3 linked regions of the Kluyveromyces lactis genome follow. The protein of the gene in region 1 interacts with the protein of each later gene in a pairwise test. Links are inferred from orthologs where the notes say so. Each region holds a gene or a part of one and is shown on either strand. Other genes may lie near its edges. The genes, in order: KLLA0_F21406g, ATP11 and YCH1.

Region 1 (3,643 bases):
AACGATCATGTCATCCGAAAGAAACAGAAACCTGCAAGAGATTTTATCTTCGAAGGAAGTAACAGCGATGAGCTGGGAATCTACGACGTGCTATTGAAAAAATTCAGCAAGGACGAACAAATCAAGCAATTTCTTCATGCATTGCGGAATGGAAGTGTGATAACTGGCGAGGATGTATCAAGAAGGAAAACTCTTTTCGTAGAAGATTTCCCAATCTCGATTATATTATCTGTGTTCCGGGAAATTATAGATCAATGGCCTCTCACTGAATACAAGGAGAAATTTGAAAAACTAATGCAAATATACAATGGATTACAAGCTGATATTAATGAACTTCAGAAGAAAGTAGAGATCCAGGAGTTAGACTTCCAACACGAAGCGTTACCGGAAAAAACGTCAATATCATCTCTCATCGATAAAGAGGAGAAAGAAATACAGAAGCTCGAGAAACAGTTGGACCTTTTGGAAGGGAGAAATAAGTGAAATCTAGCAGCGGTACTAAAAATCCATTTGATACATTAATAAGTTATATCCAAGAAAAACCGATATGCTTGCCGAAATGAAGTGGAAAGATATATTTCACACTTCGGGAATTAATCTCGCACTGGAATGGAAATATTCATGTAAGTTTCAGTTCAGTATATATCATTTTTGTATTATTAAGGTTCTAATTTTATGATAACGAAATATATCGTAGTTCCATTTCTACGGCATCTTGCTCTTCTACAGAGAATACGGTTTTCGTTCTTTCATATGATTTTATTGCTGCAATGAAAGTTCTAATTTCAGAGTACAAAAAAGTAGATACATGGAAACAAAGAGTTGTTAGTTCCTATTACAACTTCAAATCTTAAAGAAACATATGTTGCGAGCAAAAGCCTCGATAAGAGTGTTAGTGGTGCCAGAACTATGAGTTCTAATACGGGAGACCAGTTTGCCAATCTGGGAAAGGCACTGTCTACCACGGCGTCTGTTCTATTCTCGTCGCAGCCGATGGAAGACACAATTCTTTCATACAGTAGTCCATATAAGAAATTGCTTCATGAGACAATTACTAATGCAGGTGGGGGATCATCACTAGTTAAAGTACGCCACGACGTGAAATTATCTAAAGGCAAGAATACAGGTTTCCAAGATATATATTCCAATAGCAAAGAGTTCTTTAAAAACTCTTATAGTGATCCAAAAACAACATTCAAAGTTTTAAGTTACTTGAGTGATGATCTACTTGAAGACGCCCCACGAGACACTATACCTCAGAACAAGAACATGATAACAGAAAATGGCGAGAAAAGATCTGCAAAGTCAAAAAAGCAAGAACCGACGTTATTTCAAGGATTTGAAGCATCTTTACCTGTTATTAATGAAACGATAGAACTACAGCAAAAACTTATAATGAATAGCGATATGAAACCCTTAACAGACTCTGAGTCCATCCCAGTTTACGCTGAAGAAGAAGAACAAGAGGAAGAGTTTAGTTTGCCAGACCATTTAAAAGCTGATAAACTTCTGCATTCTTACTCCGCATCCTTCTTGAAGGATGCCTCGAGGTCAATCACCGATAACCTGGATTTACTTGAAATCCAGAAAAATCTAGCAGCTAGCGAAATAAGAGAGCTAGATATCAAGCTGGAAAAGTTAAAAATGATGCGTGAACTAGTATTCAAGCGAGTGGCTAAAATTGAGCAGCATGAATTGTTTTTGGAGAAGCATTTGAACAACGTTAAGGATAGAATCGATATGATTATAGAGTACAACATGGATAAAGAATACTCATCGGAGGATGAAGAAAATATAAATGGATTATCTGAACTTTCGCCTAAAACTGGAGAAACTAACGAAACATATGAAACTGCGGCTACCACTCCTTTAGAAAACAAAGAAGAAGAGCACTCTCCATTGCTTTCCAAATCCATCTATCAGCAGCTACAAGACCACGAGAAGAAATCGGATATTTCCGAAAGGAAGAAACATAGTACTTCCAAAAAAATTAAAGATGTTGGTGTTTCTCACCGTAATCGCCGCCGTAAAACTTATCCAACTTTACAACAGTTCTATGATTCCGGATCTAAGATTACAAGCCTTCCTAAGGCCCATGATGAAGATATCACTTGCCTAGATTTTGATATGCCATTTGGTACTATGTGCTCTGCTGGCAGTCTAGATCACTCGGTAAAAGTATGGGATTTAAGTAAAAAAAAACAAATTGCTACATTGCATGGACACTTAGCATCTATCAGTTGCATGCAAATTGATCAATATAGCACCCTGATTACTGGTGGTCGGGACGCAGTTCTGAAATTGTGGGATATCGATAAGGCCATGGCTGATGAAGCGTCAAATTCATCTGAAGATAATGATGCATGTTTATATACCTTTGATTCTCATGTTGATGAAATCACCGCAATAAGTTTTGACGGTGACAATTTGGTTTCTGGTTCTCAGGATAGGACAGTACGTCAATGGGATCTGAATAGTGGTAAGTGCACCCAAACCATAGATATATCTTTCGCAACTGGCCCTATGCGGTCTCAAAGAAACATCCCTCTTCGTAATAGTGTACTTCTAACCAAGGAACCGCCGGCTATTGGAGCTTTACAATGCTTCGATGCTGCCTTGGCGACAGGTACTAAAGATGGTATCGTAAGGCTTTGGGATTTAAGATCCGGGAAAGTAGTACGTATGTTAGAAGGTCATACTGACGCCATCACCTCCCTTCAGTTCGACTCGGTCAATCTAGTTACAGGTGCAATGGACAGAAGTATAAGAATATGGGACTTAAGAACTGGTATACTTTCTGACGTATTTGCATATGAGCAACCGATCACTTCTCTACATTTCGATCTGGATAAGATTGTAATTTCAAACAATGAGCCTACTGTGAAAATTTACAACAGGAAAGACGGTAACCACTGGTTCTGCGGCGAAGATGATCCTGAACAAGGTAACGTGGATTTTGTTAGATACAAACACGGATATTTGGTAGAAGGGCGCTCGAATGGTGACATCAACACCTGGGCAATTTAGACCTACAAAATTGTTTCAGCTGAAATGAGAGTTATGACATTTGCCGTCATCTGGCACATTACTTCAAAAATAATAAATATTCTTCACTATTCCCCATAAATTAAATAGAAAAATAATTAGCATACAATGTAGGTGATCACTTGTATATAACTCACTAGTATAAAAAGACCATCCTCATAATACCTTGCTAGTTATTTTCGCGTGCAGTAGAATGTTTCTAGCTACAAGCCACTAACAAGACATGCTTCCAAGCCAAAAAAATCTAAGATTTAACAAAAAAGAAATGGTTGCGAAGAGATTCGAACTCTTGCATCTTACGATACCTGAGTGTTCCCAACTGTAAGGTTGGTTAAGATAGGTATCTTGAATCAGGCGCCTTAGACCGCTCGGCCACACAACCAATTTCGTGATTATTAGTTGAGAATGTCCACACTATAATGTAGATACCGTCTCATAAAGAGATTATATTAGAATAATCACTTGCAATATATGGCTTTACAACGGTATACAAATTATTCAAGATGTTAAAGACGTCCATGTTCATGCAAAACAGCATCTCGAAGTTGCTACGCGCATGTTTCAGCGTTCAACGACGTTTCAGAGAGGAAAAAAAAGC
Region 2 (2,433 bases), on another chromosome or scaffold:
TGGAGTTTTCGAGAGGAACTACCCCGTAGTCCATATCTATGTCTGAAATGAGCTTTTCGAAACATGCAGGGATAGATGTCACCGGTATTAGCTCCTCGTTTGGAAATTGTTGGAGTGCTGCTTGATGTGAATATGTTCCCACAGGGCCCAAGAACAATACTTTCGCCATTATAAATGTAGTAGAAGTAAAACAAGGAGATATTCCAACTTCCAGCAAACAGTGTACAATGTGCAACTACTGTCGGGGCTTTGTACTGTTTGAGCAGAACGAATTCAATCGATTCTACTCATAGGTTGGGTCATCGATGCATCCATATGCTCGTAGCACTTCTGGACCACACTTAGTCATAGTGGTGAAATTCATTTTGATGAAGTACACGTGACTAAGAAGAAAGCCATTCCAACGCATGCTGCCCAACCTCGAACCACAGCCTGCTGCTACTCAAAACCGCATGCTGTTAGCATAGATCGAGTATGATGGAATGTTTTCTTTATACAAGCGACATGTATATATATATGTATATAAATATATATAAATGTATTAGGAATCTTCCACTACTCCATAACTTGAGAAAGAGCAACTAATAGATCAACATTGAAGTTTGGAGATCCGTTGGTAAAATCCTTCAAAAGTTGGACCCTCTTTTGGGCAAACCCGGAGTCTTGTCCCATAGCACCATAGAATCTTTGAACGTTCAAAAGCAATAGTTGAGATTCTGGTAGGGAAACATTAGAATCAGATTCAACTTGGCCGTTCATCAATACAATGTTCTTTTCCTTGGCCAAATCCAAGTGGAACTGTAGAGTAGTATGAGGTCTTGCAAATTCTTTGTGCAATTTATACTCTGCTAGAGTAGTCATAATACAGTGGACGGTTTTAGGTCCTACAAATTGCCACTGAATGTAATGCATTTCCATGGCCGGTTCTTGTTTCTCTGCAGATTCAGCAGCAGTTTCTTCAACTGCACGCTCTCTTGGCAAAGGGATAACGAAGAATGGGTTTTCTTTGGCTAAGGCACTGATCTTTTCCCAGATATCGATTGGAACAACAGCGTTCAATACATTGTCCTTATTGGCCCATCTGGCTCTCCAAAGAAATTCGCATTCTTGTTTAGAGAGGTTTTTCACTTTTTCCACATCCAAAAAGCTGTCCAAAGTCTTAAACGGCTGTTTTGGCATAGATGGATCAATCGGACCACGGGACTTAGCAATGTTAGATGACATTTTGGTTCTTTGTTCGTAGTCTTCCAATTCTTTCAGTGGATCAATTCTGTTTAACTCGAGTTTCTTCTTTTCAATTTCTTCTTTCAAAGAATTCTTAAGTTCCTCAATGCTATTAAAACCTTGTTCGCGAGCCTTGTCCAAAAGCTTGTCCTTGTACTGTTGTTCTAATGAATCAGTAGAGTAACTAGAGTTTGATTGGATTGATGACGCACCAATAATACGTTTGAATTGCGTAGCAGATAGTTGCGAGGCCGATCTTTTAACAACACGGGTCCAGCTTTTTATCATGTGTCCGAAAAATTACCTGGATAGATTCACAAGTTGTGTTGATAGGTATCCTCTTTCAACTAGTGAACTTACTCTCTACAGTAACCTATTTCCAGTGAATTCTTCCGTATCTCATTAAAGTTGGTAATAGTAACTTTGTTCCAATATCACTTTTCATAACTTTTAAAGAAAAAGGTAAATTCTAATCAGCGTATACCGGTTCAGATAAGATACATGCAAGAAGAAATTGAGAGGATGAGAAATATGAGTTAGGTGTGACTTGAAACAGTATATTGTCACACTGAATTGCGGTGTGAAGTTATCACACCTTGATACTTCCCTTTTCTGCTACTTTTTAATATCGAAATCTAACCTACATGTCACACATATATTCGCATTCTAATTTGGATGAACTCTTGGTGTCTCTTTTGGGAGAATACAAGCCACATCTTCAAACACATAGCCATAGGATGAAATCATGGAACACTTTGCTCAAGGAGTTTAATAGGCGATCTGGATTAAATTACAGGCAAACTAGGACATTGAAAAGGAGGTTTGATAAGCTTTGTTCTGTTTATCTTAAATATGGTAGCGTGAAGGTAACGAATTTCGAAACCTTCAAACAGTTGGTATTTGAATTCGAGCATGAACGTCAAAAATCTGATAGTACTGCCACTGAATCAAGTAACGCTCTAAGCATGCTGGCGCGAAGATTGGCGGAGACCGGAGAACTGGTCAATTCGAACTCAGACATTGGTGACGATGATGTGTTGGAGGATGATTTGGAAGAGGAAAGGCGGTATGGCGATGAAGCTGACGTTGATAATGGACCGCAGCCTATTTCAGTACCTAGTACAGCTAACTTAGAACCAGCAGAAATAATTTTGGATGATAATGATGATGATCGAACACCTCTTGATTCCATAACGATATTACCACATA
Region 3 (2,333 bases), on another chromosome or scaffold:
GCAGAGACTGAGGAATCGGAAGGTCCTTTGCGGAAAAGACCACACTCTGAAACAAATGATTTCAAGGCCAGGGAAAAGGAGTTGGATGAAGAGCTACCTGTTGAGTATAGAAAGTTTAGACCTAAGGGCTTCAAGTTCAATTTACCACCAACAGATCGTCCGATTCGTATATATGCGGATGGTGTGTTTGATCTTTTCCATTTGGGTCATATGAAACAATTGGAACAGTGTAAGAAGTCGTTCCCCAACGTGACGTTGATTTGTGGTGTTCCAAGCGATAAAGTGACGCACAAGTTGAAAGGGTTGACTGTCCTTACCGATAAGCAGAGATGCGAGACGTTGACACATTGTAGATGGGTTGATGAAGTGATACCGGATGCCCCATGGACTGTGACGCCGAAATTTTTAGAAGAACACAAGATCGATTATGTGGCACATGACGATCTACCATACGCTAGTGCTGATAATGACGATATCTACAGACCAATTAAAGCAATGGGTAAGTTTTTAACTACCCAACGTACCGAAGGTGTTTCTACCAGTGATATTATCACCAAGATCATCAGAGACTATGACAAGTACTTGATGAGAAATTTCGCAAGAGGTGCCACGAGACAGGAGTTGAACGTATCTTGGTTGAAGAAGAACGAATTGGAATTCAAGAAACATATTCAAGATTTCAGATCGTATTTCAAGAAGAACCAAGAATCTGTCAACGTCGCATCAAAGGACTTGTATTTCGAAGTTAGAGAAATGCTTCTTAAAAAGACACTTGGAAAGAAGTTGTATTCAAAACTTATTGGACCCATGGGTCATGAAAGCGTTAGAAGAAGTAAAAGGATTTCGGGTAGATCCCCAGTAACTCAATTCGCGAAAGACTACACTGGTGAAGAGGTTGAATCTCCAACTAGTGATAGTGATCCTGAACTGCATAGAGGTAGTTCTGAATCGCCGAATCATTTGTTTTCAGATGAAGATGACGACGAAGAGGAAGGGGACAGGGAAAGGTCACCAACTACCGATTGAAACGCCTCATATACTTGTTGTTTTACTTTTTATTATTTGATATCATTTCTACTTCGTTCGCATATATGTATCCTGTACCCGTTGTATACTTACATACATTTCTCTCTCTCTCTCTTTTATATGCCCTATTTCGTTGACATTTTAACTTTAACCACTCATTTAACTAAGTGAACGATCAAAGAAAAGAAGGAGAATAGAAAGGTTAATTCAAATAGCAGCGAATCACGGTCCTCGAAATAGACACTTTTTTACTGGATCCTCAGTTGATTGAAGCTTTTTTTGCAACGTAAGTTCATCATGCAATCGCATTCCATATCTTCATTGAAATATCTAGACGCAATAGACCTATACCAGTGGATTAAACAAGGACACACATCTCTAGGACAACCATTCCAAGTCATTGATGTTCGAGGTTCAGACCATATAGGTGGACATATCAAGGGATCCTGGAACTACCCTTACAGAAGGCTTAAATCGGATCTGAATTACGTAGATACATTGAGACAAGAATTACTTGATAAAGCTGAAATCGGAGCTGATGGTGCATCAGAAATTATTAACTGCGTTTTCCATTGCGCACAATCACAACAGAGAGGTCCTAGCTCTGCTATGCTATTTTTACGGTCGATACCAGAATCTCAGTTGAACAGGTTCCAAATATGGGTATTGAAAGGCGGGTTTAACTACTGGCAATCGAATTATGGGTTAGATGAAGCTGTTACAGAAAACTATAAACCCGATTTATGGTGAAGAGTCCTGTTCAGGCAACTCTTTTGATGATATGAAGACCACTGTCAGATTCTACAATATCACTGACTTGATCGATTTTCAAAGCAAACGCAGCCTTCTCGAAAGAAGGTTGCATTTCTCCATGACCGAAGAACCCCAAATCACCACCTCTTTTCGCTGATGAACAATCACTTCTCTCTTTAGCCAATGATTCGAATGGTTCACCACCATTCAATCTCTTGATATAAGTTTCTAATTCTTCTTTAGCCTCATCCTTAGTAATGGTAATATTTTCATTTCTATGAGACGCTGGTCTTCTAGAATCCTTGTGCTTAATCAAGAGATGCAAAGCTCTGACCCTCAATGGGTTCTCCTCTAAGTATTTCTTTGATTGGTCCTCATCTGTACCTGACGGTGCCTCCCAAACCGATTCCTTAGTCTCCGGGTTGAAGAAGTATTCACGTTTCTTCGATCTACTAAACTTGATAACCCAGGGTTCTGGAAGTCCTGTACCTGCCATGACGAAATTGTGGGGTAGATAAATTATAAGATTGGGTTATATATCACAATAATGGAGA

Evidence for each region.
Region 2: the proteins of KLLA0_F21406g (region 1) and ATP11 interact in a two-hybrid assay, tested with the Schizosaccharomyces pombe proteins (2 studies listed by BioGRID). The link is inferred for Kluyveromyces lactis from reciprocal best matches to the Schizosaccharomyces pombe genes mdv1 and atp11.
Region 3: the proteins of KLLA0_F21406g (region 1) and YCH1 interact in a two-hybrid assay, tested with the Schizosaccharomyces pombe proteins (2 studies listed by BioGRID). The link is inferred for Kluyveromyces lactis from reciprocal best matches to the Schizosaccharomyces pombe genes mdv1 and ibp1.

What each region holds. Positions count from the first base shown.
Region 1 is NC_006042.1:1,995,644-1,999,286, reverse strand, and holds KLLA0_F21406g (WD repeat MDV1/CAF4 family protein), read left to right. Parts: upstream 1-909; coding exon 910-3,027; downstream 3,028-3,643. Other genes in the region: SPC34 (Spc34p), read left to right, coding at 1-483.
Region 2 is NC_006041.1:652,922-655,354, forward strand, and holds ATP11 (Atp11p), read right to left. Parts: upstream 1,513-2,433; coding exon 556-1,512; downstream 1-555. Other genes in the region: prephenate dehydratase PHA2, read right to left, coding at 1-169; DAL82 (Dal82p), read left to right, coding at 1,869-2,433. UniProt on the Schizosaccharomyces pombe protein: Essential for the assembly of the mitochondrial F1-F0 complex. May interact with the alpha and/or beta subunits of F1-ATPase.
Region 3 is NC_006041.1:1,475,285-1,477,617, reverse strand, and holds YCH1 (phosphatase YCH1), read left to right. Parts: upstream 1-1,323; coding exon 1,324-1,776; downstream 1,777-2,333. Other genes in the region: PCT1 (choline-phosphate cytidylyltransferase), read left to right, coding at 1-1,026; peptidylprolyl isomerase ESS1, read right to left, coding at 1,787-2,275. UniProt on the Schizosaccharomyces pombe protein: May play a role in DNA replication checkpoint via regulation of hsk1 or may act downstream of hsk1 in an S phase regulatory pathway.